Linked DNA regions of Lepisosteus oculatus. The protein of the gene in region 1 interacts with the protein of each later gene in a biochemical or structural test. Links are inferred from orthologs where the notes say so. Each region holds a gene or a part of one and is shown on either strand. Other genes may lie near its edges. The genes, in order: cdk9, supt5h, ccnt2a and ctdp1.

Region 1 (6,905 bases):
CTGTGTTCATACTCACAGTAGCACAGTAGCACATACTCTGGGCATTCTGTCTTACAACTGAATCAGTGTATCACTATCAGTCCTAGTCATCTCTCAGCATGTGTTTCACTCTCCTATCAAGTGGAATTGAGGTTGGAGAGCTAGCAAGAACAGCATACCAGCTTCAAGTTTTATTGTCCTTAAGTAATCTTGTGTCGCTACAAATTCCCTGATAATACAGGGTGAAACGGTTTACAAACAAGATCTGGGATTCTTAGAAAGTTTCATATTCCACCACAACTGTCTAAAGGCAATCACAGCACTAAGAAAGCTAAAACATTGAAAACAACAGAAACAAACACATAAACCCTTTAGCATGCAAGGTTTTGAATTCTGAACGCAAAGTGTCTGTTGCATAACCAAGAGGGAAACGATTCAATGTTTTGTAAGTGTTAATGTAAAAACAAAACATTTCACAGAAGTCCATAACTATTTAATAAAGGTTTAGAAAGGAAATGATTTAAAAACAAAACAAAAAACAGTTCTTACCTTATTTCGGTGAATGTAATATAAACCATTTAGCAACATCTGCATGACTTTTTTGATTTCGGCCAAAGTAAACTTGACGTTGGCATTACTGAGTAACCCAGCCAAGTCATGTTCACAGAAGTCAAACACCAGGTAGATGCTGCCTTTGTATCGATTGTACTGGGTGGCTGGAATTAAAAAAAAAAACACTTTAATTTTCTTTTTATTGAATAAGCACATTAATTAAAAAATACTTATATTCTTAGATATTCAGTATTTCTATAAGAATACAATTTACATAGCCAATTCTGTTTGTTTACTACGACATCTATATATCAATAATCAAACTATTTTAGGTTATGCTACGTATGAGGTAACACGTAAGGGTTATTTTCATGCAAAATGTCAAAAGAAAACAACGTTTCGGGTGTTCTTAACAGCTTTACATCCTTTTAACAACTGAAAAGTGTTCACTTTTGTTTTCTACTCTTTAATAAAGATTTAATAAACCAATTTACGTATTTGCTCGTGCCCTATAAAAAAGTACACAGAAAAAAAACAACTTGATGAGTTTCTGAGGACTTACCTTTTGTTCTGCAGATCTCAATCAAATTCACTACATTCTCGTGTTTTAACAGCTGGAGGATCTTAATCTCTCTCAGGGCTGTAATGGGAAACTGAAGAAGAACGTGACAGTGAGTGCTACCTGCATTTCCACTTTTCAAGATTAAATGAATAGAAAATGCTGCTTAAAAATGGGAGCCAGGGAGATTTGTTCACTATGTTCAGTTTATAAAGTTGCGTATTTTTACAGTATCGTAATACAGAAGCAAGGATGACCAAAACAGTGGAATGACAGCATCGAATTAAAAGACAGGAATGAAGAGTACACGCTGGTTTTTCCATCTGCCTCTCTCTTTGAGCTTTTTTGTCTCGTCAGCACAATCTACTCAGTGACGGCGAAAAAGGAAAAAACGATTCTTACCCCTTCTTTCTCATTTTCCATTAGAACCTTCTTCAAGGCTACCTTCTTGCCAGTCTGCCTGTGCTTAGCTTTAAAGACCTCCCTGGGGACACAACACAAAACCTGCATCAAAAACCAACAAAATGCACTTCAAGTCTCCAACACCAGGAAATCCAACCGATTTTAAGATTTCGGATTACACACTGACTACAGTAATGTTTCAATAAAAATACAATATAAAATAAAATGACTTCATATAGGAGACATTACTATCTTTCTTACATCCAAAGAAGGCTCCACAGCCATACTATTTGTTTATTATTTTACCAAATCAGAACATGTTCCCCATATCGTGTGTGTGGAGTGGAATTTTTCTATTCAGCTGCAGTTGCTATCAAACGTACTCACCTCCCCTGGACTTTCTTACATTTTACTGCATTACAATATGGAATCAGAATGTATTTAACTGTGAGTTTTTACACATATGGGGCTTTCAAAATAAGCTTGGACAAATCCAAGAAAAATATCCCATCGTTATTGTTGATCGTGCGTTAGATGGCAACTGGACTGCTACACACCCGAGCACATCAAAATAATAATAATAATAACAACTTTATTTTATATAGCACCTTTAAAGGTGGCTTCTCAAAGCGCTTTACAGAATGACAACAACAATAAATAAGAAGAATACACATGATAAAACACAATTACAATATGTAGAGGAGACCGTGGATGCTGGAACTAAGAAAAGCAGAGGGGTGAAGAATGGAACAGTTAAGTAAAGGCTTTTCTGAAGAAGAAGGTTTTGAGTCTGGATTTGACGGAGTTTAGAGAAGGTGACTCTCTGATATTTTGAATTTTGGACACACTGCAGTTTGTTCAAAGTATATTTAGACACCCCAGCGAGTAGAGCATTACAGTAGTCAATTCGAGCGAACACAAACGTGTTGATCAGCTTTTCAGCCACAGTTAGTGACGGCACAGGGCGTAGTCGAGCGAGATTTCCGAGGTGAAAAAAAGATGTTTTGACAATATGCCGCACATGTGGGTCGAAACAATACTTTGGCGGAAACGGAAACGTTGAACGACGTGCGAGCAAAATAAACTTACCCAAAGGTTCCCTGCCCGATCTTGGCGAGCTTCTCATACTTGGAAAACTCATCGCAGAAAGGGAACTCGACACCATCATAATACTTCGACATCATCGCTGTCTCCCGCTCGGCCCTGAGAGAGAGAGACAAGGGAGACACGGAGCTCAGCCATCACCCACACGCTAGCGAGAGGTAACCCTCCTTCAGGCCTCAGATCTGCGTGATCCTACCCGGGAATCAACCGAATTTCACCTCCGACGGAAAATCTTAAGAAAGCGTTTGATCTTCGCCAAAAAAAAAAACAACAACGTCCTTACTTGTCACCACCACCCGAAGTCCCTGCTCTGTCACGCTGCATCCCGAGAGCTGCAGTACGCCTTTCCGCTGCCCTGTAGAGACTGTGCGCCGCAGTCCTCCGCAGAACGCGTTTACGGCAGCCGTTTCCCCGCACACTTCCGGTTGGTTGCCATAGCACGGGGCCCCGGGCTCAACCCGCGGGCGGGTCTATCGCCTTCTGATTGGTGAATCGGTGCCGTATGACTACACGGATTGGAAGTGCTGAAAACCGGAAAGCTGAACTGTGAGTGGGCGCTGGAGCTGTCCATCAACCGAGGAACCGGTTACGCAGATCCTTTATGAGTAATTACTCATTTACAGCCAGACCGGCGCAGTCAATTTATCGTCCATATCTTATTAAAGTAAAAAGTAAACGTTAACAATTTTTTAATACCCTCCTTATTCAGGTACGACACGCAGCAGGGAAAATTAAAGGAGGCCAGGTTGTGCAAAACCAAAACAGAGCTTAGCCCGGACACCGTGGTGAGCTTCTCTACTGTGATGAACAGTGCCGTGGCATGTAGTGGCTTTTAGTGCAAAATAAATAAGTTACAGTGTCCTGTTCCATTCAGTATATCCCTTGAAATCTGTTCCCGCTAGGAAACCCAATGGGATCTTTCATGACCAAGGGGTCCGGACCTCAGTTTAAGTTCTTGACCGAAGGACGGCGCTGTTACATGAAGCATTATATACATGAGCACTATTTTTTATTTACATTTTACGTTTTGTATACAAAAAAAAAATGGAAATGCAAGCATGTACATATACTCACACGTGCTGCAACACGACAGCACAAAGACAACGTCAAATGAACGAAGCAGAACAAACCACATCGATTTGAAGATTAAGTTAGGGGGTCACATTACATAAATTTATATGCTAGGAAATTTCTGTAAACCAGTTATCCAAGGGTGTTTTTAAATAGATTTTAAAGAATTTGTCTTTGAAGCACATAGAACTTTTACGAACTCTGTATTTAAACGTTTTCCAACATGAGAACGACGTTGAACATTAGACGAACTGTTGTTTTTTCCAGAACTCCATGAGCACACGATCACTAATCGAGGCACTGGTTCGGAATTAGTGGTTCAGAGGGAAGGTCGCCGTCTACTGGTGGAAGTTTGACACTGCTGAACTTTTACGCCATGAAATCTCATCCCAGTACTGAGCAAGACCAGCCGTGCTCAGCTTCTGACTTCCTCCTGCAGGAACTGACAAGACGATCAGAGTGGAAAAACAGACCCTATGCATGTATGATTTTTAAAGTTATTTTCTACTTTTTCTAAAGAAAATATTCTACATATACGTCGGTTCCCCCATTTTTACCGTACATGTAAAGCGTTTTGTGATCTTTTGAGATGAACGGTGCTATAAAACTCAAGGACATATTCATTATTATAGTCCATGTCATGGTGAATATTATAGTACAGACTCAACTGGACAGCCATAGAATTGGAGCAGAGAGAAACACAAAGGTCCTGAAAGGGCAAATTAGCCTCAGGGAGTTAATTAAATAAAATTAATTAAAGGTGAATTCAAGTAATTTAAAATAGTATGGGTATGATTACATCCTGTCTCATAGTCAACAGGCTATTTTGTATTGTGTGTTGGAATATCATGCATTGAACTTATTTTTAAAATACCTAGTAACAGATTTGTTTAAAATACGATAACTCCAAATCATTCACAGGGTAAATTCCGTGTTGCGTGAAGAGACCATGAGAAGCGTCAAGAGTTTGATTGGGCCTTTGGAGGTGTGAACCCTCCCTTCACCCCCTGGTACAGTCGCAGTTGTATTTGCATTTTAACGAGCCTTGTCCGGGGAACCTGTTTTCCTCCAGTTTTTAGCCTCTGAATTTCTACAACTGAGCACAAGTCCACCTATACTTTGTGACACTGGAGATCATGAGCTTTCGCACTGCTTTATATTGCTCCAGGAAATAATTGACAGTTAAATAAATGGCATTAAATCAGAAGGTTGAAGAAATAAGAGCATTATGACAATACCAATTTGTAATCTGTTGTATAGCGGTAGATCCTGTAGCAGAATGATTTCAGCGTTGGTCTCCATTTAGAATTACAGTACTGCTCACTTTGTTTTCCAGTTTGTGAAAATCCCAATTCACACTCTTTTGCTGCACTTTCGTATTGAGTAGCCGGGCTTCGGCACGGCGGGTGATAAGTGCTCAATAACCTCTGCACATGTGGATTTGGTGGGATGTTATCCTTATAGAGAAATGTGTTCATCCCCCCACAGTTTACACTAATGAGATTCACCAGTCAAACTGTTAAGCAGATTTAGCTTGTTGTTTTCGTGCTACCTTTCTCAATTTCCTTTAAGAAAGAAATCCTTGACTGAGAAGGTATCTGCATTCCTGCCCAAGAGCCAGCAGGATATCTAATCAGATTACAATCACAGTCTACTCTGGAATTTAAACTAAGAAGAGAGTTTTGCCCTTTTAACAATATATTCTGTTTATTTTTCCTCTCTGTCATTTGTCACTAAGATGATTAGGTGTCTGATCTTCCTCCCCTCTGAACAGTAAATCCTCACTGATCCAGCTATCCTGTTAGGACAAGTGCCCAAAGGGCCTGCCCACTGTGTCTATTGTCTGTCCCACATCTAAGGCTCTCGATGTGGGCTAATCTCATTTATTTGCTATATGTGTCAGAGAATGTTGTAACACCCAAAAGACTTCAAGGTCCTTTGCAGACTGTGATCAGCGCACAAGGGAAAAACAAAAGGCTTGAAGGTGCTAACTGGCGTCTGCAACTGTGGGACCCCGTCTTCAGCTCACCCACATGACACCAAGACTGAGCAATTTCCAACACCCAGTGCCCGAGGGGAACATTAACCACTGTTAATAGGGAAGGTTCATGCACATCTTCCACCTGTGTGCCGTTCACTTGCGGGCGTCTCCTCCGCACGTTCCAACCTGTGAATCGTGCGAGGCGGCTCTCTTCTCCACCTGTGCGAATGGTGAAAGACTGGGCAGGACCGTGCGCTCTCTCGTAGAGTCCTGTGCGGCGTTTCGCTTTTCTGTTTGTCCGGATGAGAGAGTGGTTCTGCCCGGTGAGAGGCGAGAAGAGGAGAATCGCGTCGTGTGGCCTCTGTAATGCTGCGGGCAAAGCATCGGAGTGCAAGGAAAAAGTCTGTCCTTGAAAATGATTCCACACGCTAGTGCTAACCCCAGAGTGGAGCTTCCATTAGGAGCACTATAGACTTTGGCTTATAATATCTTTCACTAGGCTGGCCTTCTGTCATCGAAACTGGCGTTCGGGTCATGAAAATGCTCGCAGCTCCACAGAGTGCCCAGAGATTCCCACACTTTGTGGCAGCATCTTTACTGTAGTCATATTCTGCAGTGGATGCAAGTCTAGACTATTTCTAGAGCTGCCGGTGCACTGTCCGTGTGTGTGGCGTATGCTGGTGTTCTTGCAACCAATCTTAAGTTCTCTTGAGACCCCTTTACATCTTTTGCGGGTAAGATCAATTCAATATATGTTCGGTATTGCTGCCTTCACAGCCCAGGAGCGCTTTCACAGATCGTTACTCGGGTGAACCACTAGGAGGCACTCTCTCCTCAGGACCACAGTTTCTAAACCAGTTTCACACTGAGCTGACTGGAGACACTGTACACTAGTAGGTTCCATACTTCACATGAGATGTTAAAACTAGTCCTAAATAAGTGGTCATATGGTACTTTTCGAAAGAGTTTGGGTGTTAACCCTGGTGCCCTGGCTAAATTGCACTAAAGTCTTGTACAGTCTGGCCTTCCTGAAGTTCCCCTGTATTCATTTGGGGAAGTGCTTTCTCATGCCTCCACGTGTAAAGCATTTTGTGATTTGCTGAGATGAACAACACTGCACTTTTTATCCATTATTGTAGCAGAAGTCATGAGTATAGTACAGGGCCAACTGAACAAACATTAGACATGGAGCAGAGAAAATCACAAAGCTCCCAAGTGGGAAAAATACATCTCAGGGAGTTCAAGTCCTAACGGTTA
Region 2 (7,470 bases), on another chromosome or scaffold:
TTGATGCGACTGCAGTAGATCCTGCGCAGCAGCAACCCATGCTGAGTGATGCCGAGATGGGGGCGTTTGTTTGAGCAGTCTGCCTGGGCGGAGTTGTCATGCCCTCCCTGGGCTCATGAGGGCTTTGGCCAGGAGCTCCAGTTTTATCCCAGGGACGCGGCACTAGTGTCCCATCTGGGGAGATAGTGGTCATGTGCTCAGGCTCATCCCGCTGGGAGAGGCTCTGGCTACCTGCAGAGTTCGCTGGGACAAGCATCACATTCCCCGATTCTCCATGTACAGCCCCTGGCTTGACAACACAATGATCTGGATGTGTTTATTTCCTCCAGGGCCAGAACCTGACGGAAGGGGCTCCTTCAGCCCAGAATTTGAACTTGGTGCTTGGAATTCACAGATCATACTGGCAGCCCCTTCGTGTGACATTGTTGAAATCCTGTATCTGTGGAAAAGCAAGACAAGACCCAAACTTACCCCAGAGGAAAGTTTTTCTGAGCGATGACTCACTGGGCACAGGGCTGCGCTAATGCTAAACATGACAGGGAAATACCTCATAGCAACGAGCCAGCAGATTAATCCCATGTCGGGAAATCAATGTTTTTAAATGCAATAAAATGTTTTAAACATAAAAGCAGTGAGCAAAATGAAGGTTTTTCTTCTTTTTGAATGATTGAACAAATGCCCCCCCCCAAAAAAACAAAAAAGGCAGTTAATCTGTGAGACGATTTAAAGTTGCTTTTGTGTTGAAAGAATCGTGAAGAAAGCCTTTATTTTCAGGAAGTATTCCAGTTTGCTCCCTTCTCTACATATTTCTTTAATTATACAACTATTTTGATTTCTGTGAAGTTGGCACAAAGCCATTTAAATCAAATCGGGAACGCTACAGGATGTCTGAATGCTCAAACCCAAAGCGCAAACAATGTACTTTGTTTTTAAATGTAATGAAATGCTTAATACATAAAAACAGGGAGCAAAATAAAGTTTTTTTTTTGAAGAGCTGTAGCCTAACTTCATCTGACACTGTGCCCCAGCCAGCACATACACAATATCACACATTTTGTGCCACAAAAGGAGCCTTCTGTCTTTACTGGCTCACCACCAGGGTGGGCCTCATTCACAGTGGACAGTGACTCAGCAGGACAGCTGATGTTTTATAGAGCCCTGGAACTGCGCGATTTAACAAATGCCCCATTTAAAGTTGCTTTTGTGTTGAAAGAATCGTGAAGAAAGCCTTTATTTTCAAGAAATATCCCAGTCTGCTCCCTTCTCTAAATATTTCTTTAATTATACAACTATTTTGATTTCTGTGAAGTTGCACAAAGTCATTCAATTCAAATCAGGGACACTACAGGATGCCTGAATGCTCAAACACAAAGGAGATACACTTTTCAAAAACTGCTCAGGCCAGTATAAGCCGACTGTGTCCATAACCTGGATGCCAATGGGCACAGAGCAGGATAGACCTGCCTTGGGACACTAATACATGGCAGGACACACACAGGACATGCAGGGGCCAGATCTCCTTACTGGCCAAAATATTAGGAATGAGAGCATCCTGAGTGACTAAACCAGTAAAGTTTCTAACCTGGGTACTGGTTAAGCTTGATGATCACGGGTTCGAACCTCGGTCACATCACTAGCTAATGACCGGCAGCCATATCACTCTGCAACTCACAGCTGGCAACCCCCTGAAGCCAAGTAGGTCTGAGCCTGGTCAGTACCTGGATGGGAGACCTCCTGGGAAAAACTGAGGTTGCTGCTGGAAGAGGTGTTAGTGGGGCCAGCAGGGGCGCTCATCTTGCGGTCCATGTGGGTCCTAATGCCCCAGTATAGTGATGGGGACACTATAATGTAAACAGGCGCTGTCCTTCAGATGAGACGTAAAACCGAGGTCCTGACTCTCTGTGGTCATTAAAAATCCCAGGGCGTTTCTCGAAAAGAGTAGGGTTGTTACCCCCGGCGTCCTGGCCAAATTTACCATTGGCCCTTACCAATCATGGCCTCCTAATAATCCCCATCTCTGAACTGGCTTCATCACTCTGCTCTCCTCCCCACTGAGAGCTGGTGTGTGGGGAGCGTTCTGGCGCACTATGGCTGCCGTCGCATCATCCAGGTGGGGCTGCACACTGGTGGTGGTGGAGGGGATCCCCATTACCTGTAAAGCACATTGAGTGGTGTCCAAAAGGCACTATATAATTGTTAGCAGTTGTTATTATTAGTTAGTCATGCTGACTCTGTTCCCAGCAACGGGGACCCCTGTGGCCTCCTGCATGCTTGCAGGCTGATGTAGCTGCTGTTCAGGGGAGCGCCTCTCCTCCAGTCAGCGTTTGACTTGCACTCTGGAGCGAGTGATCGTGCTGTGGAGGCCCCAGAGTGTTGTAAACCCTTCAGGTAGTACCCCTGGCAGTAGTTTCAGGGCTTGTATTCTCTCCAGCTGCAGTGAGTGAAGCTGAAGGTTTTCTGTAGCCCTGGTTCCTGGAGTGGGGTCTCTTCCCCCCACAGCTCTGGTCCTCTGTTACAGCACTGAGTCGCCTCAAAGGTGTAAAAAGACGAGCAGGTGGGTGTGGTTGGGGTCTGCAGTTCCTCACTGTCCTGTCAGTGCAGTCCTGCGGCCCAGTCCCCTCCCATTCTGTCAGCAAGAGTGGGACTGGAGTGTGTCCCTAGAGTGGGACTGGAGCGTGTATTCTGCACACTGCTGGATCTCCAGTTTCTCTGTGGGGCTGAGATCAGGGTTATTCCAGGAAGGTGATGAAAGCCTGATGCAGCACGAAAATAACCTGCCTGCCAGATAAGGAAAGGTTCACTCAAGGGTCCCAGCAAAACTTCTGCTTTTCTTTTCTTGGCTGAGCACTGAGGAAAGAAATCTGCTCCAGGCTCTTCATGCTTGGCTGGCAGGAGGAGCGACACAGAAAAAAACTTTGAAAAACAAAGAAAACAAGCACCGGGATCTGGAACAATTGGAGGTGTGTGTGAGTGCTGGTGCTGAGCCAGTGCTCGGGATGTGATTTTCAGTCCCAAGTGAAGGAAGTACAGAAAGGGGCTGAGACAGAGGGAAACTCTGTTGCAGCAAGTGGAGATGATAAGATCACTTTATTGGCCATTGACAATTTCTTGCATTAGGAATCTGTCTTTTCACATACCCCAGCCTGCTCTCCATGAGGTGGCACACAGACAGGGAGAGAAGCTGGGGGTCAGAGCGCAGGGTCAGCCATTTATACGGCACCCCTGGAGCAGCTGGGGTTAAGGACCTTGCTCAGGGGGTCCAAAGGAGTAGGATTCCTCTTTAACCTTAATCCTTAACCCTAATTCCAGGGGTGCAGGATTTGAACCAGCAATCTTCCAGCCACAGGCGCAGGTCCTTAGCCACAGTGCCACCACTCCGCCCCAAATGGCGATGGTGATGATGATGATCCTGATGAAGACTGTGCTGGTCCAGGGCTGCTGGCTTACTCTGCAGATTGGGAGGCATCTGAGCAGTAAGAGCATAATGTAATGATCCTAAGTTTCCCCCTTTATCCCACACTTGGTATTATTACACACACTTTAATTGTTGATGTGAGGGGAAAAAAAAGTGGTGATGAAAGAGCCCTAGATGTCAAGAGTGGGTTCCTCCTGATTTATTTTCTGCTTGACGTTGACATTAACAGGCTGCCCTTTTTTGCTTGTGGGGTTGAAGTAAACCAGGAAAAACAGAGGCTGAATGAAAAGCCGTGACGAAGCACAATACACCTTTCACACTAAATGGACAGAAAGGCCTTGCTGGGAGAGACCGACTGCTGCGGCCGGTAATCAACAGACCAGTGGCAACAAGCCACGCCTGCGAGCAAACCGCTGTGTCATCGCCAGACTTTGGTCGAGCCTGCGGAGTCCCGAAAGAATGGAAAGTTCAGTACAAGCTAAAAACCGAACATGAACTGGAATGAACTGGAGTTCAGTGCACTGCACGTGACAAGCATACTCTCCAGAATATCTGTGCAATGCCACACGGTTTCTCTTATCAGTGCAGCCTCCCGAGCCTCTGAAGGTGTTTTCTGCTAGCACAAGCAGAGAGACCTCCACTGCTGCACTCACGCCCATAGAAGGAAAGACAGACAGACCCACACATCCATAGGAACCAATACTCTGTCTTTTCCTGCACACTTGATTATATAGCTACCTTTAATTAGAGGGTCCCCAGAATTACAACTGCATAACATTTACTCATTTGAGTTTCTATTGTTTTTATACAATGCAGCCAGTTACTCTTATCCACAATCAAATGAAAAATCCCAAGTGAAAGCACATTAAATAAAGATGAATATGCAAAGGCGAAAAAGAGAACGGGGAAGTACTTTAAATGTCGCAATCTACATACCAAGGCAAAAAAAAATCAAATATACTTGATGTACATACAGCTTCCGCTACCAAGATGGCGCTCAGAGCCAGTTGACCTTTCTAATATGGCGTCTTGGTGAGGACAGGAGCATGTCTTTCAGTGTGTTCTCGCGATAGTTCCTTTCAGTCTGTGCTGGAGTGGTGATGTGTGTTTATTAACTCAACGATTTTTTACATATTTCTCAGTTTGCGGTAATTTTTAAGGTAAGTGCTCTTTCGCTGCAATTTAGGCGTCAGATGCCTGTATTAATACCATGATTCGTGCGACTAAGTACGTATGTATTTCTTAGAAAGAGGGTTAGGCTTAGGCTTAATTTCAGGGCCTAGCTGTGAGTTTTCTATAAGATTCGTGCCTGTTATCAATCTCAAGGTGTTTAACCTCATAAAATATTCTTACGTGTTGCATTAATGAAATGAAAAAACGATTAAACTTGGTGTGTCAAGATAGATTTTCGCGTACTTAATATAATTGTTTACGTATTTGTGCATGGCCGGTACTACTGTATTTTATATTAATATAGCTTCCGTTAATAAATTCCGTATATCGCTCATGTCGCATACCGTTTTTCTGTTTTAGATGTCTGGTAGCGCGTAGCTTAATTAAAAAAAGTGGAGCACGAATAAAAACAAGAATGAATTGGAATGATGGAGAGAGTTAGAAGTCGTAGCTAAGTCGGTTTGTTTTTGCCTTGAGAGCTTCTCTCTTCATGCGGAGTCACAAGTATCCGCTGCCTAAACAAGCTGAGCTCCTGATTCTGCAGGGTTGTGTGGTCTTTGACGTGTATTTCGACTTATTTCGAATATTGACGTCATTGCTGAATTTGCTGGCGTTTCCAGCGGGGAAAGTTTAAAATCCAACACTCAAAGATCCCACAGTTCTGTCAATTTAGTACTTCAACGTCAACACAGTTGACACTGGTCCAGCGCAGCCCAGATTAAAAAAGACCACACAGCAGAAGCAACAAAACGCATATTACCCTTACACACAGTATTCAATCACTACAAGATCTGCATATTGAGGTGCCTACTGCCGCTTGAACTGGAGAAAAGGCAGTTGTTCCAAGGCTCTAGAGCTGGAGTTGTGCTAGTCAGGATGATGCCTGGGTGAGGACGCACAGCGAGCAGGTTCAGCCTTCAGCCTCGGTGTTTACAAACTGGTGGTCCTACAGCTCCTTCTCCCTGTTTCCCACTAGCCGGGGGTTGTGCTGAAAGGATGTCGGACAGCGAGGACAGCGACTTCTCGGACAACCAGAGCGAGCGCAGCAGCGAGGCGGAGGAGCTGGAGGAGAATGAGGTAACGGTGGGCGCCCTCCCCTGAACCCCTGATCGATGCACAGTCTCCGTTTAGGCCCGGTGTTCTTTTACCCTGCGCTCACTGGACAGCGAGACTGGACAGGGCGGTCAGAAGAAGCTGCTCTGTCCGGAGAGCTGTGCCACTGCAGGGGTCACTGAACTGAGGTCTTTTTCGCGGTCAAAGAAGACGGGGAGTCGTGTGTTCGACGATGTGTGGCGGTTGTGTCCTTTTCTTCCCTACCTGTGCCAAGTTTCTTTGGAGTGTGCGGATATTATTTTTTGAAGTTTAGCGATCACCCCAGTTGTCCCATTAAGTGGTGGTGAAGGGGCTGCAGAAGATTGGCTTCTAGCTGGAATCTGCACGGCCTGTCCCATGTCCTGCCTCTGCTCACAGATTGTTCTGCTGCCACTAAGACAGCTACCTGACCACCATTTCTTTCCCTTCATCCTCAGTATGTGGTCTGTGACACTAACTCCTGCCGTTTAATACTTTTCAAAAGTTCATCCATTTCAGTGCAAAAACAGCCAAGTGTGATTTATTATTGATAAAGAAACACTTTATATTATATAGCGCCTTGAACGGTGGCCTATCAAAACACTTAGTGACACTTAGCGCCTCGTGCACTGGGATTCCTATGCATACTGATGGCTTTAAAAGAAAAAGAGCTGTCTGTTTTTAAGCACAGTGTGTTATAACTGCTTAACACAGTGTTGTACCCTGAAAGTTTTCAGATTTCCCTGCTATCAACGACTGTGCTCTCTGACTAGCTTTTCCTTCCTGCTTCTCTGCTCTGTGCTTGGGCGCAGCTGGGGTACAGGGATGTCGGTTTGCTGGGAGGCCCCGTCTTGGCTGGCAATTAAACGTTAGCAGTTGGCTCAGACCTGCAGTTATCCTGGGTCCTTCAGCTCCAAACTTGTTTTCGTCTTGGCAACAAGAGCGCAGAGGTTAAATCAGGTTGTTAATTCAAGTTAGGGCATAACCTGGCGCTTCACTGTTAATACACCCAGAAAGGAAAGGTGTTTGTGTAGGTCTTGGGGAGGGAACAGTGACTCTGGTGCAGCTCGTCCTGCCGGGGTTTGAATCCTGTGCTGGTGGCAGGCCCAGTACAAGGTGCCGATCGCCCCGCCTTCGGGCCTCCAAGCACAGAGCAGAGTGGGGATTGTGCCCGCAGCTCCGAATCAAAGCGCAATTCCAGTCTTGGAAGCTGTCGAAAGGCAAGACGGAGGGTTTATTTGTGTGCTCTGGACCGCTGTGCCGGAAGGCAGGGGTTTGGGTCGGGCCCTCCCTGGAGAGCGGTTCTGGTCCGGTTCTGCAAAGCGGGAGGGGTGACTTGTTTGTTGCTGGGTGTGTGACGGCCCGCTATCGTCCTGCAATGGCAGGAGGAAGAGGCCCAGGCCAGCGACAAGGGAGAGGAGGAGATAGAGGAGGATGAGGAAGAGTACGATGAGGAGGAAGAGGAGGATGATGACGACCGGCCCAGGAAGAAGCCACGTCACGGGGGCTTCATCTTGGACGAGGCCGGTAAGATACCTGTGTTCCTCTCTCTCCCTCGGCACTGGGGGTGTCTCTGTGCCACTGGTTCATTGAGAAAACCATTTGAAAATATTTTTTTATGGTAATTCTGGAGCAGATAAAAGAAGGGATTCAATCCTCTGCCCAAATTCAATGTAATCACCTTCTTTTCTGTCTTGTTACCTTCTGCTCACCTGTGAAATTGTGTGGTGCCCCCCTCATTCTGGGGTACAGGACAGTGAGGTGTGCTAGTCCTGTAAGTGTCAATTCTGCTTCTGAACCAGCATTCAGTT
Region 3 (7,403 bases), on another chromosome or scaffold:
ATCTCTCTCAAAGCACAATGAGTAATACATTCTGAATACAAACCAGATCACATTTACACACTAATACACCAGTTCGGTATTCTAGCTGAGGAATTCGGCACGTGGATCGCCTGAGCTCTTCTCGTTTCTCGTGATGTGTCATCAGGCCAAGCCTCACGACGCCCTGGATCTCTGCCACATTCTGAACGACGACCTGGCGGCCACAGTGCGCCAGCGCCCGCGGCGGTTCGTGGGCCTGGGGACTTTGCCCATGCAGGCCCCGGACCTGGCCGTGCAGGAGCTGCGGCGCTGTGTGCTGGAGCTGGGGTTCCCCGGCGTGCAGCTGGGCTCCCACGTCAACTGCTGGGACCTGAGCGCGCCCGAGCTTGGCCCAGTCTATGCAGTAAGGGCCGCACCGCCGCCCGAGACTGAACATCTGAACAGCGTCTCCAACCTTCACAATTGAAATGCCCTGAAACTGAAAAGCAATGCCTTGTACAATGATAATCAAGTCCTTCTACACAGCGCCTTCCAGCCCAAAGCATCACAAAACACTTTGCCTGTTGCGCAGGCCCCACCTGTGAGACGCACAGCAGCCCAGCCACAAAGCCAGTCAGGGGAGGAGAGAAACCGCTGCACCAAGAGAACTAGGGGAGCTAGAGAGAGGCTAGTGCATGCCCAGAGTGGAAACCAGCCAGGACACCAACGTTAACAGCCCTACACTTACTTTTATTACACTTTCATTATGGTATATTTTACATACTGTAGGTCTGAGCACATCTTCGTGGGCAAAACAAACGTGCATGTCAGTAGCCTTCTGTCTGGGAAGCGTGGCAGGATACTGGTTCGAACAGCTGCTTGGCAGTTAGCTCCTGGGACCTGGGCTCGGTTCTGAACTGGAGTGCCTGTCTGTGTGGAGTTTGCATGTGTTTGACTGGCTACCCTGAGAGTTAATGAAAAGGGATGGTCTTCCTATCCCATTGCCCAGACATGAATGGAGAGGTCTGGCTGCAGCCCTCCTGCTGGTCCCTGACCTCGGGATCTGTGGTTTCATTGTTCTTTGTGCAGGCTGCTGAAGAGCTGAACTGCTCCTTATTCATTCATCCCTGGGACATGCAAACTGATGGAAGGATGTCTAAATACTGGCTCCCCTGGCTGGTGGGTTAGTATGATGTGTTTAATGTATGTTCAGCTTGCTGGTGTGAAACAGCACTGATATTGCACCATCAGCGTCTTTTAGCACTTAGACTATAGAGTGTTTAAACACCTTCCACTATTCTGTGTTGGAAGTATATCTCTGCAGTGGTTATCTGCACCAGAAGCCAGTTCGGCTGATACTGCTAGAAGATGACAGAATGGTTGTGAACCAGAGGAGGCCAAGCTGGCCCTTCTAGCTCATCTGGTTTATTGTAGCGAATTGATTTAAGGATCTCATCCAGCTGTTTCCTGAAAGAGGAGGGGCTATCGGCTTCAACATAATGGCTGAGCAGCATACTCCCACAACCCTTTGGGTAAAGAAGAGCTTCCTGTTCTCAGTTTTAAATTGACTTTCTCATAGTTTCCACTTGTGTCCTCTGGTTTGTGTCTCACGTGTTCAATCTGGAGAAGTCTACACAGCTGACTTTGAGGACTGTATGTACTGGTCTCCTCACACACTTCTCTGTTCAAGACTAAAAATACCCAGTGTCTTTGGCCGTTTAGAGGAAGACATGCCTTTAAACTTAGTATTGTTTTGGTTACTTACCTCTGGATTGATTCCAGATGTTTTTTACCTTCAGGAATGCCAGCAGAGACCACAACAGCTATCTGCTCCATGATCTTTGGGGGCGTATTTGAGAAATTTCCCAAGCTTAAAGTCTGTTTTGCTCATGGAGGTAATGTTACCCTTACGCAAATATACTTTGAGAACAAATATACTGTGAGAAAGAAGCAGAGCCATTGTAACAGAATGGTGCACACACAAAGCAGTCTGTGTAATCTAAAGTATGTAATAATACTATCTGTTATTTAGCAGATACTATATGTTTAAAAAGCATACAAATACAACATGTCTGTAGAAAATGCTGTCTGACATAATTTCATACTGAAGAGATTAAATATAAACAGGATATTTCAAAATTTAGGAGGATCCTTCCCCTACACAATTGGACGAATTGAGCACGGATTTAAAGTTCGTCCAGATCTGTGTGCCGTAGATAACAACATCAATCCCAGGAAATATCTTGGCTCGTTTTATACGGATTCCCTTGTCCATGACCCTCAGGCACTGAAGCTTCTTCTTGAAGTGGTTGGAAAGGTAGGAGGGTTTTACTTTCCAGACACAGAGCACAGCACTGTGAAAAGTATAAACTGTAATATATATATATAGCAGTACATCAATGCAACCTAAAAGATAACCAAGTTTAAGTATTGCACACACTACAAGTGATCTGTTTTTCTGGCCTGTTTGTTAGCAATGATAAATGTCAGCACTGTAGCTAGGAAACGGTTTTATAAAAATTCTTCTTCTTTGTTGAAGGATAAGGTCATGCTTGGTACAGACTACCCATTTCCCCTGGGAGAACTTGAGCCAGGATCTCTGATAGAATCAATGAGTGAATTTGACTGCGTGTTAAAGGTGAATTCAGTTTAAAATGTAACTGATTTTGTTCCTCAGCTTCTTGGAATATTATCTTTAATGTCATGACTTTCCCCAGAGTAAACCACAGCCCGCCATGATCTATCTTCTTGCCTGAAAAAAAGGGTTTTCTTTCCTGTAAAAGCTACACAAATCCTTAAACCATGCAAAAATTCCAGCTCAAGCCCACCACAGCCATGACTCTTATGCTGTATAGACTGTAACCCTAGCTCAATCCTAAAACAAACTCTTACCATCCAGAGCCAATCTTAAACTTAACTTTCATCACATCCTAATCTGAAAACCTGCCTTAATATGATCTACACACCTTACCTGTGTTCTAAACTCACCCAAAGCTTTATAAATCTCATCTGGTTCCCCACTGAATCCCACAAACAACTACACAAAGTAAATCAAAAATGGACTCCCTGACAAAAGCACACAGGAACAAGTAAAGGATTATTCCATGCAGAAAAGAAAAGTTCCTTTGCAAGTTCCTTGTTCCTTTGCAGCCTACCTGTATGCATGCTGACACAGCTCCCTACTTGAACTACTTCAAAAGCACACAGGTCCAAAAGGCACAGGGCAGACATAAAGATACGTTTCCAATGACTGTTTGATTATCTCTTGCATCTATTCCTTATAAAACAATGCTTAATGATCTGTAATGTTTAGTCTTTTCATGTTTTCTTTATAAAGTCATCATTTGTTTTAAAAAATAATTATCTTACTTTAATAAATGAAGCTTACATATCTCCAATATTCATTCTTTTCATGTTTTCTTTACTGAGACAATTTGTTTTAAAATATCATTGACTGTTAATTAATTCTTAGTCTTTCAATAATAAACTAGGCTTGTTTTATGTCTTTTATACAATGTATCATTTGTTTTAAAAATAATTAATGCTAGATGTCTGCATATTTTAATTGATAGATGCTGCTCAAGGATGTGTAATTGTTTTAGAATGTGTTTTTGTCAGGTTACTTCAATAATGTTTCTACAACTGAAGTAGCTTATCCCCTCTCGTATTAGTCTAGCTGTGTGGGGTCTTCAGGACAAAAGGCGTTAAATATACAGAACACAGCGAAGGGGTCTCCAGCAGGGGTGTCCAGTCCTGTTCCTGGGAGGCTGGTGAATCGGCTGGTTTTTGGTCCAGGCCAGCTCTTAGCGAGACAAGCTGGTTCTGGGCTTAACAGGAACCATTTCACAGCGTCTCCCAGCTCTGCAGGTGGTGTTGCTTTAAAGAGACCTAGCAAGCCTGCAGACACACCAGCCCCAAAGGACCAGCACCGGACCCCTACTCTATTTTTGTTTAACAATTTGCTTACTTTGCGTCTGTGTGCTTTCTGTATTTCAGGATAAACTTTTAGCAGAGAACGCTCTGGAGTTTTTGGGCCTTCATAGAAGCCAGTTTGAGTGATCCCAAAGACACCTGATTATTACATGATGAGATTACAACCTAAATTTCTAATCACCAGAGTGATTCATACTGAAGATCTATAGAACTGTATGGAAATTAATTTAATTAACTGTATTTCTCTATCTGATAGCTGTTAAACGGCACATAATAAAAAATAACATTTTGGTTCTACTAGAAGACATCTCTTCTCTTCCAACTGATGTACTTGTACCACACGAATAAGCAATTAATGTGAAAAAAAAACACTGTAGGTTTTTCATACAAAAATAAATCTTCCACAATGCACTGCCCGCTTTTCTTCAACGGTTTTTTTTTTATCCGTTCTTGTGTGTTTTGTGTAGTTCTCCTTTCATCCACTTGAGGGAGGTGACGAATAATGTACTGTACTTTAAAAACGACAACACTTTCCTTGTTGCAGCCTCATGTGCGTGCGCTGGTGTTGTATGTACTTGAATCGTCGATATCTGAGAACAGAAGAGATTTGTTTTGTCATTTACAATTTGTTAGTCCGAAATTTTAAGCATAGACTCTTCTACAAAAGCAGTATTAATCGTATCTGTATTGGAACTGTTACAGCACTCCAAAGGTAAGAAGTTATTGCTCCAGTTTTGACTTACAAACGGGTGTGAAGTTAAAAATATTTCCAATTAAACGTTGCCATTATGTATTAGGTACTGAAGCGATTGCGTTTCTCTAGTTACACTAGTTCTCTAGAGAAAAAAAAACAATACAAATGTGCAGACTTATACAAGTGGAAGTGCAGTTCTTCCTTATATTAGGCTACTATTTTTATTTTACGTTAAATATCTCTTCGCATTCGGTATTAAATAAACCGATTTGTTGAAAGGAGACTCCGTGCTTCTTTTTAGACAATCTAGCGAAAAACACAGCAGTCGTTTGAGGTCCTTGACTACATTTCCCATGAGCCCACGGGCGCGGGGGAGCGTTTCCGGCGCGGGTGACGCAGTAAGTTCCGCGCTGGGCGGCGTGCCGCTCCTCTGTTCCTGTGTGATGCTGGAGCGATGGCGGCGTGCCGGGGCTCCACTTCGAGATGGTTTTTCACCCGGGAGCAGCTGGAAGCCACGCCGTCCCGCCGCTGTGGAGTCGAGCCGGACAAGGAGCTGTCCTACCGACAACAAGCGGCTAACCTTATTCAAGATATGGGCCAGAGACTCAACGTGTATCCTTTTCTTGTGCACGTCTGAGCTGCATCAGACCCGCCGACGAGGGGCCTGTAGGCTTCGGCAGAGATGGCGCTCTTGTAGGCCCCTCTTTTCCTCTGTGGTGGGTGGTGGGTGGTGGGTGGCTGGGTGGGGGCTGCGGCCCGGCTTTTAAAGGGCTAAAACTTCGCCGTTACGCGTCTGGGGGATGGCGATGTGCGTGTTCGCGGGTTTGCTGATCACCCTGCGGCTCAGGGGTTGCGGGGTTTCCGAGCCGCTGTGCTGAAACCGGTCCGGTCTCGGCTCCGCTGCTGCCCGGCCTGGGGCTGGCTGATAACCCCGCGCCGGGGCCCACGCACGTCAGCCTCGGTTGTCCGCCGTGGACGAGTCCGGAGTCGCGTTTCTGCGCGGCGGGGGGCTGATCGCCCTGCGGGCCGGGCGGTGTGCAGGGGACAGCGGCGCGGCGCCGGGCTGAAGGAGCTTGATCTCTGTCGCGCTCGTTCAGCCCCGAGCTGCCGCTGCAGGCCGGCCCTTGTTTGCATTGCAGCCTTGTTTCGGGGGCACCGGGAGGGAAATGAAACGAGTTAACGTTAGCAGCGTCGAGTGGGAACCTTATTAGTAATCCCTGACGCGCGATAACCTTCCCAATTCGTGTTTGATGGCGTTTTGTTTTTGGGGAGGGGGGCAGGGCCGTGCTGATGAGGTTTACCGTTGTCCCAGGCCGTGTTCCCCCACGCCAATAATGGAGTATCAGTGGCTGCGACGGTGCGATTTGCTCTTACCTCTTTTCTGTCGTGTTATTTTGGGGGAAGGGGGCTCTTTTGGTTGATGTTTTTTTTATGGCTTTGTTAGTGACTCGAAGGGATCAAGAGCAAGTGACGAGGGTCAATCGATAACCAAAGCAAAATCGCGTCCTCCTGAAAAAGGAGACGGAGGATACCGTGTTTAGTGTCTTTAACGATGAAGAGCCTTACCTCGACTGACCGTTCTCCTTAACCGCAGTGTCCAGCTCCCAGCTGACGATAAACACTGCAATCGTTTACATGCATAGGTTTTATATGTACCATTCTTTCACGAAGTTCCACAGAAATGTAAGTATTTTCGAGTTTCTCTACTGTCTTCTGCAATTAATTAAATCTGTGAATTGTTCGACGTAGAAGTACGATATCCTGTGGCAGAAACATGCCAGATGTAGTTCAGCGGTTGGTGTGGCTTTCCCCGTTTGACCTTAAGGGTCTTTGATACGGGAGTCTTCAGCAAAGGCATGACCTGCCCTTGTTTTTATTCTGGTACCTTGAGTGGACAGTAAGACTAACGGGCCTGATGAATAATGGTAAAGACAAGTAGTTCCGCATAGTCTGCAAAGGAACAAGTAAAGGGTTTATTCCATGCTGAAGAGAGAAACCACAACGTTTCGGCTGTGAAGCCTTCTTCAGGTGTGAAGAAGGCTGAAGAAGACTTCACAGTCGAAACGTTGTGGTTTCTCTCTTCTCTCTTCAGCAGAGGTTTATTCCATTATTTGTTCCATAGTAGAGTAGCCTTCATTCAGGATGGGGGAAAATGCCACTTAACATAACTGGTATCCAGCCCCCCCTCACTGGAGCCGAGGAGGAGAGGCAGATGGTCTCCACAATAGAAAGGTCTTCTTCTCCAGCCCAGCTGGCTCTTATCAGCCATGTTCTTTTGTACGAGACCGGTAGAGATTCTTCTGTCCCGGGTGGGGGGGAATTAGGCTGATTTAGTTAAAAGTTGTGATGACAGTAACGATTCAAAGGACCCTCCCCCTCTCCCCGGAGTGTGTTAATTGGCTGGCCTCTCGTCAGTGTGGCTGCTGTTGTGTGTTGCAGATCACTTCTCCAACGACGTTATTCTTGGCTGCCAAAGTTGAGGAGCAGCCGCGTAAACTTGAACATGTCATCAAAGTAGCACATGCCTGCTTAAATCCTCAAGAGGCACAGCTCGATATAAAGAGTGATGTAAGTATGACCACGCCTCTGCCTTTTTCATGCACCCCTGCGGCACTGTTAACAGACTGATCGCAGAATGTTTCGATGTTGTTAGGTGCTGTCCTTGGGGTTTCTCCCTGGTTTAAGGCTACTTCAGTGAAAACTGCTTTTAGGAAGTCTCATTTGGTTTACATTGTTTTCCTGGGCATTGTCTGATTCTATTGATTTTCCTTTTGAACTGCTAAAAACTGTTGCAGCATAAAGTGTCTCTCAAAACCCC
Region 4 (7,024 bases), on another chromosome or scaffold:
CAGGTCAATGCAGTGGATGGCTTCTGAATCAACAGAGCAGCACGACCCAGAGGACAGAAGTGGAAACTATGTGTAAATACATTTAAACCCGAGAACTGGAGGCACTTCTTTACACAAAGAGTGGAGGGAGTGTGGAATCAGCTGCCCCATCATGTTGTTGAAGCCGATACTAATTACCAAACGGACAGGATGACCTCTTATTTATAACCGTTCTCATGATATTAGCATTATCATTTACAGACTTTGAATTTAACTTCATAACACCCCTCCCTAACCTATACGTTCCCTGCTACATTTGCTTACTGACCATCTCTAGTGAATAATCCAGTGTTTAGTTTATTCCATCTGACTTCTTAATCACAGACTGATCAATCTTCTAGTTGAGGTAAACTTTCATGTCTCAAAACACTGTACCAACTGTACTAAAACCTCTACCAATTTCTAAGGTTCAGATATCACCCCCATTCAGCTGTGTGGACTGGAATAATAACTGCTTACTTATATAGAGCTTTTCTGGACTCCACTCAAAGTTCTTTACAGGTAATGGGGACTCAGATGCAATGGCAGCCAGAGTAAGGCAGTATGCTCACCACACACCAGCTATTAGTGGGGAGGAGAACAGAGTCAAAGATGGGGATTATTAGGAGGTCATGACTGGTAAAGGCCAATGGGAAATTTGGCCAGGACACCCCAGTTAAACAACCCTACTCTTTTTAAGAAATACCCTGGGATTGTAATGACCACAGTCAGGACCTTGGCTTTATGTCTCATCTGAAGTACAGCACCTTTTTTTTTTTACTATACTGGGGCAATAAGAGCCCCACAGACTGCAGGGTGAGTGTCCCCTACTGACCCCACTGACACGTCTTCCAGCAGTAACCTTAGCTTTCCCAGGAGGTCTCCCATCCAGGTACCGGCCAGGCTCAGACCTGCTGAGCTCCAGTGAGTTGCAGGGCAATACAGCTACTGGAATGTAAGCAAGTGGACCTCAGCAGACAAGAAAAAAAAAACATTCAGTGTCACTCCCAACTGTCTGTGCATCAAACATCGATCACATATGAAGAACTATTCAGACAGAAAAAAAGGCACGAACTCTTAAGGGCTTTGTTCTGTATGCTGAGTATCCAACAGGTGTATTAAGTAACTAAGAACGTAATACATAAATATGTAAACACAAGTCTAAAAGAACAAGCAGATCAGCTCAATTGGGATGAAAGCAGGAGAGACAGGGAGCACCCAGGACCAGGGTTTGGGACCACTCACTGGAAAACAGCACGTCAATGAACCATTACAATCTCAATCTGAACAGCACCTAAGATTAGGACAGTAACAGCAGAGTTTGACAGAAGAACTAAGTGAATGATAAACCGCCCGGCTGTGCTTTAGCTCGACGCGGCAATGTTGACAGAATACTAAGTCACGTGACGCTGACAGCTCCAGCACGCGGCCCTGCCCCCCACCCCGTGAGCAGTTTCCACAGACGCTGCTATTGCGACTCGTCCTCTGCAAAACAAAATGCTCGTCGGTGGCAATTCGGGAAGACCCAAGCGTTGTTGCACTCCAAAACTCGGCACGAGTGGCAATCTGGGCTGGAAAAAACATAAACGGTGCCATTACCCCTTAAGAGCACGCGTACAAACACACCCCCTTTTCGTACAACAAGCAGCTACACACGTCTTGTGCAGTAGGCCTGGCGAAAACACTGCGCTGTGCGCTTTCCCTGGGCATTTAAAACGCGCCATCTAGATAAAAAAGACAATTGTAAGACCGTCTGCACTAACTTTAACTACGTCTCACGCACTAAGATGTTAAGGGGTTTGTCTTCGAAACGCAAGACGCGGCTCCAGACAACTTGAGCTTTTCTTATTTTCAATCTTGGACCACGAAGTTATAAGTTTTCAGTTAACTCAACACTCCCCGTACACTTCATCCACACTCGTACAGGAGAACAAGCCGCGCAGTTGCGTGATCTGATGATCACCCCGCTTTCTCTTTAAGCAACTTTTCTCCGGACTACATCAATTTGCAAGTGTGTTCCTACAAAGTTCTGCCCGTTTCGGACAGTTAGTTAAACCCCTGCAGCGCCTCGATACATCAACACGAGCACGAACACTCATTTTCTGCAAAGCATGACTACTGAGCGCCGCTTTCTACCCGCAATCCCCCTCATGTCCCCCCAGCCCACAACTGACCACTTACCCCGGAGAAACGACCTGTCCGAGCTGACAGCAGAGCTCTCTGACCACGCCGGCCCGGTCCGATTTCACCTTCTTCTCCGTCGACCGAGTCGGCGGCCCCTGGGGCTCTGCTCCGGCCTCCCTCTCCACCGGGAGCGGGGCGCACAGCGCCAGGACGGAGTCGATATTCACATACGATCCCGGCTTTACCTTCCACTCCAGCAGCCGCAGGGGACGGGCCCCCGCCGGGCAGCGGATCTCCGTCACCTGCTTAGAGGGGCCCGCAAGAGCTGCGGTACCACCGCCGGAGTCTGCCGGGTCCTCCATCCGTGTCGCACCCCCAGATCCCTCCAAACTTTAGCCGAGAAGGCGATGCGCCCTGAACCGCTGCAGATCGAATCGGAACTGCAGGCGGCTCTCTGCACTTTTAAAGAGACAGCAATCGGAAAGCGAAAAGTGGAAACCAGAGAGCAGCAGCAGATGAAACCAAAGCGTTCAGGTTCGCTCTTCCCGCTCGTCAACAGGAAACACAAGCCTCCGAGAGGCAGCAGGTTGCCGCACCGCTTCCGGGAGACGACGCCGCCGCCGTGGAGGAGGAGGCAGGGGGAAGCGCCTCACAGCAGCTCCGGCTCCGCGAAGCCGGGAAGGCACTATCATTAAGCACCTTATATTTTCGCCCAGTTCAGTATGACGTTTTTAAATGGGATAGCGATTTGGTACAGAGTAGGTCTTTTTTTTACAGCTGTACAGATATTTTTTTTTATCCTGCTAGTGGACGTGCGTCGAAATATTAAGAATAGTGCTAGGTTTTGGGGGCATTAAATAGGTATAATAGTGTGCCAAACATAATCCACAATTGCTGTGTAATTTCGTTTACTTTTCAGGACTTGGAGTAAGCTTTGGCAACAAAACTGTAATTATGATGCAAGGTGATGTAACAGCGTGATACTGAATCCCCTGGTGCTCCAGGTGCTGAGGTAGGCGGCGGTAGGACCGGGCTTGCTGCGGGAGGACAAGGTGTATGCTCACGGCCTGGCACCTGTTTAAATCTTGGTCCTGGAATTGGACAGTAATTCAGTAATTCAGATATCATCCATAGTTTCTGAGAGAAAAAACAACTTCGCGGTTACTGGAGTTAAAATTATTTTACCACTTTTTGCTATACAAAGTTACCCTGTCTTTTAAAACGGTATTAGTCGTATTAATCATCGTGAAATGTTGACATACTGCCCAATTTGACAGTTGAATTTGATGCTAAGCCCCTTGGTGACAGTTTGCCTCTTAAAAAAGAGCATAATACAGTATTCTTTGTTAGTGTCTTGCTTTATGTAATGTATATTGTTCCTGGTCTTAAATTAATTCATATTTTAACCTACTGGTAATAATGAAAAAACGATGAGCTGTTACACTTATCTATGTAAGCATCCTTATTTGTTAGAACAAATGTTGATGACGGCCGTGAAGCTTAAACATATTCATTACATTCAGTTAGTTTACCTGTTTGTTGAAATGAAATATTTTGGTCTTCAAAAGTATTGCATTATAAAGAAAGAATAAAGGTTCTCAATGTCTTATTGACAGTAATCATTCTGAAATTTGTGAATGTCTGTGAGTCGACACATCTGTTGCTAGGAGACAATGACTTAAGACGCCTATGATGGGGTGTTTGAGGCTCCTCCTACTGTTACAGAATGACCTGTATTCTGGCCTGTTATAGAGAATAAATGAGTCAAGTATACATATGATGCTAATAAAATAGGAGGATAAGCAGTTACTATAGAAACCATAAAGGAAATGCAGAAAGATTTATATAGAAAAGTCTGGGAAAACATTTGGCAGATAAGATCACTCTATTGGCCATATACAATTTATTGTATTAGGAATTTGTCTTTTCACATACTCCAACTTGCTCTCCATGGGACACATAGACAGGGAGAGAAGCTTGTGGTCAGAGTGCAGGGTCAGCCATTTATACAGTGCCCCTGGAGCAGTTGTGATTAAGGGACTTGCTCAGTGGCCCAAAGGCGTAGGATTTCTCTGCCAGCCATGGGATACAAACCGGTAACCTTCCAGCCAGAGGTGCAGATCCTTAGCCACAGAGCCACAGCACCACCCTAACATGTAATGTAAACAAGCAGAAACAGTTTGCATGTTCTCTAACCCTTAGCCCAAGCTTTACACATTTTAACGCGAGCTTTGACGTCATGAAACATGACATCTGTAAGGGCTCTTGCTGGCACATTTACTTCTTAGTAAACTGATTTTTAAAAAATTAATTATATGTTTTTTTCCAAATAAAATGGGTTCATTTTAAAGTACTTCACTGACAGTTATAAAGTCTCTTTTTGGCCCAGTATGGCCTCATTTTTAGAACCCAAAACCAATCCATCCCACCTGAGAGCAGCAGTTTGTCATATTCTGATTCGAAATAAACTGTAGATTAAAACCACCTCAGTGCGCTGTCCTTTTCTGCACCAAGTTTCTACCTATTACAAAAACGCTACCCTTAATAAATAAGGCCAGGGAGGAACGGTAATCACAAATCTATAGCTGATAAAGATTACACTATAAATACAGGCAGCGGTATTCTAAAAGGTGTATGGACCTCCTCCCTCGTTTATTTTGTGGCACCTTCACAAATTTAAAAACCCCAACCGGGAAGGAGAGCAGGAAGTCTTATCCCGTCCACGTGACGTGACGCGTAAATCAGCTGCCAGCTCCGGAGTCACGCTTTTATTTTGAAAGGTGCTGCCAAGCTAGCGTCGCTTAACGACGCTAGCTTCACGCTAGTCAGTCACCCCACGTGTCACATGACCCCAGTGCGTGTGTAAGGCGAGCCTGGCAATAGCGAGGGGAGGCGTCAGAGTCCTTGCTCGTTAACTATAGGCAAAGGGCGACTGGCAATCACAGCCTGCGTTTCCATATACTGTCCGGGCATAGACTGGTTTTACACATTGTTCTCCTTAGCGACATGGCCGGAGATACTTTCAGAGCGGTAAGCGAATGAACACAGTAAAGATCACTTCAAGGGTTTAGCGAGTTGCATTTTTGAAAGTGGTTGACAACTTTTTCAACGGGCAAGAAAAGAAATGCAGTCCGTAGTAGTGCCAAATGACGGCTTTCTCGTGACAAGTTCACTTTGCAAAATATTCTAAATTCTAGTGTCGTGCTTTTATGCGTGTGAGATTTCGCTGGTACCGAGACAGAACGGGTAGTATTTTTTTTCGGTGCAGTTTTATGAATATTAAAAAGGGATAATGGGTGTCAGTTGGAAGACGCAGTCTTCAAGTGAGGTTAGTCTTTGATAGTGCTGGTGTAATGACAGCAAGAACAATTATTCGCAAAGCTCCCAGTTCACAGTTGCACGCTGTATTGATCATGCCAAATGCATCAGTCTGTAGCAGACGAAAGGGTAATTAAGAATTAACTGTCTTCCCCTTTAATATTTCTGATGTACCATAAATTAATGTATATGTAGAATACAATATTCCAACCACGTTAATACGTCAAATTGGTTACTGTTTTTACCATCATTGTAGTGTTACCGCATGTCTTATTGCTCTGCTGTTCACCCATTTAACTGTTAATGCGGAAACAGCACTGGTCGCGTTAGTTATTATTACCAGCCTTTAGAAAGGAACAATCCCCGGGAATCTTTTTTAATAACATAAGGTGTGGAATAAACGATCGTCGGTCTTTTTTGCTTGCTGACTTGAAGCTAATAGAACCTTATCTGTCCCCTCCAGCTTCAATACATGGCTTAGGGCAAGTTACAAGCTGCCTTGTGTCGAAACTCTTACAAGGGTGAATGTCAGTGAAGAGACAAGGAGAAAAAAGGGCTGTCCTTCCTTTCGCTTACACTTTCAGCTTTCTCCCAGTTTCTCCCCTTCATATCGGCTCTTTCAGAATGAGACAGATCCCACTGTCTCGGGTCAGGTCCCTGACACTGAAGCGCTATCTTTAAATCATCTGGTTTGTAACAAGATGTTCTCTTAAACTGCTAATAAAAACAACTGTGCCTCTGAATGGACACCAGCAGCCTTGATTTAGCAGTTGCTCTCTACCGTGCCGCTTCTAAAAACATTTCACCCTGTTTGCATGAAAAAGAAAGCCCTTCATCATCTGATTACTGTGCCCATTTATGGGTGTGGTGCTCTGCATAATGGGATTTGCAAAGTTTAAAACTCGGAAACCTTAACTGTCCTCAAGGGCTTTTGATCATAGGGAATTGGTCCAGGATATTTTCATCAGGTTGAATTGAAAAGGATCTCTGAGAGCAAGAATTTCTCTAAAAAAACACCCCTATATTGTTGGCAGTGTTAAGATATTGCTCGCTCTGGTGTAATGTGTATTGTTGTGCTTTGTGAATTGTTTTGGTTTTTTTTTTAAAAAAAACAGTTTGGTCTGGTGTTCCAGCACACAGAAAGACGTCTGGCTCTGGATTAAGTGGCTCTATGTTTTTGTGTCCTGCAGTTGCGGCTGTGTCAGCGCCACTGGGCACTGTTGCACCACAACCCAGGCTCTGCCCCACTGGCCCATCTGAGCTCCTGGTCTGCAAGGTGATGTATACCGTCTGCTGGCAAGATGTTTCTGGAGGAGAGTGGATTGTGTGTACTGTCCTAGCAACAGGCGTCCTCGGAAACGGCACCTGGACAGAAACTTCAGAACTGGAGCGGTAGATGGTAACGGCTGATGTGTCTCCCCAGGCCGATGAGGAGAAGGGGTTTTCTGAAGAAGGTGCTAGTGGGCGCTGCGGCAGGCGTGCCGCTGGTCTTGGGAGTGCAGTACGCCCTGTCAGGGCCGCGGGAGAGACGCAGGATGAGAATCTTGTTTGAAGGGCTGGGCCG

The links.
Region 2: of the proteins of cdk9 (region 1) and supt5h, one has a biochemical effect on the other in vitro, tested with the Homo sapiens proteins (4 studies listed by BioGRID, with this or other methods). The link is inferred for Lepisosteus oculatus from reciprocal best matches to the Homo sapiens genes CDK9 and SUPT5H.
Region 3: the proteins of cdk9 (region 1) and ccnt2a form a complex in vitro, tested with the Homo sapiens proteins (4 studies listed by BioGRID, with this or other methods). The link is inferred for Lepisosteus oculatus from reciprocal best matches to the Homo sapiens genes CDK9 and CCNT2.
Region 4: of the proteins of cdk9 (region 1) and ctdp1, one has a biochemical effect on the other in vitro, tested with the Homo sapiens proteins (3 studies listed by BioGRID). The link is inferred for Lepisosteus oculatus from reciprocal best matches to the Homo sapiens genes CDK9 and CTDP1.

The regions. Positions count from the first base shown.
Region 1 is NC_090719.1:14,318,184-14,325,088, reverse strand, and holds the start of cdk9 (cyclin-dependent kinase 9), read right to left. Parts: upstream 3,010-6,905; 5' UTR 2,921-3,009; coding exon 2,880-2,920; intron 2,696-2,879; coding exon 2,582-2,695; intron 1,575-2,581; coding exon 1,493-1,574; intron 1,185-1,492; coding exon 1,094-1,184; intron 696-1,093; coding exon 529-695; intron 1-528. UniProt on the Homo sapiens protein: Protein kinase involved in the regulation of transcription.
Region 2 is NC_090698.1:2,281,196-2,288,665, forward strand, and holds the start of supt5h (transcription elongation factor SPT5), read left to right. Parts: upstream 1-4,468; 5' UTR 4,469-4,575; intron 4,576-5,564; 5' UTR 5,565-5,584; coding exon 5,585-5,665; intron 5,666-7,044; coding exon 7,045-7,186; intron 7,187-7,470. UniProt on the Homo sapiens protein: Component of the DRB sensitivity-inducing factor complex (DSIF complex), which regulates mRNA processing and transcription elongation by RNA polymerase II.
Region 3 is NC_090707.1:3,431,821-3,439,223, reverse strand, and holds the start of ccnt2a (cyclin-T2a), read left to right. Parts: upstream 1-4,388; 5' UTR 4,389-4,603; intron 4,604-4,886; 5' UTR 4,887-5,039; coding exon 5,040-5,197; intron 5,198-6,186; coding exon 6,187-6,268; intron 6,269-7,024; coding exon 7,025-7,153; intron 7,154-7,403. Other genes in the region: acmsd (2-amino-3-carboxymuconate-6-semialdehyde decarboxylase), read left to right, coding at 146-382, 1,048-1,141, 1,758-1,853, 2,103-2,275, 2,498-2,596, 3,955-4,017. UniProt on the Homo sapiens protein: Regulatory subunit of the cyclin-dependent kinase pair (CDK9/cyclin T) complex, also called positive transcription elongation factor B (P-TEFB), which is proposed to facilitate the transition from abortive to production elongation by phosphorylating the CTD (carboxy-terminal domain) of the large subunit of RNA polymerase II (RNAP II).
Region 4 is NC_090705.1:15,800,148-15,807,171, reverse strand, and holds the start of ctdp1 (RNA polymerase II subunit A C-terminal domain phosphatase), read right to left. Parts: upstream 3,021-7,024; 5' UTR 2,505-3,020; coding exon 2,200-2,504; intron 1-2,199. Other genes in the region: adck5 (uncharacterized aarF domain-containing protein kinase 5), read left to right, coding at 5,149-5,172, 6,651-6,736, 6,884-7,024. UniProt on the Homo sapiens protein: Processively dephosphorylates 'Ser-2' and 'Ser-5' of the heptad repeats YSPTSPS in the C-terminal domain of the largest RNA polymerase II subunit. This promotes the activity of RNA polymerase II.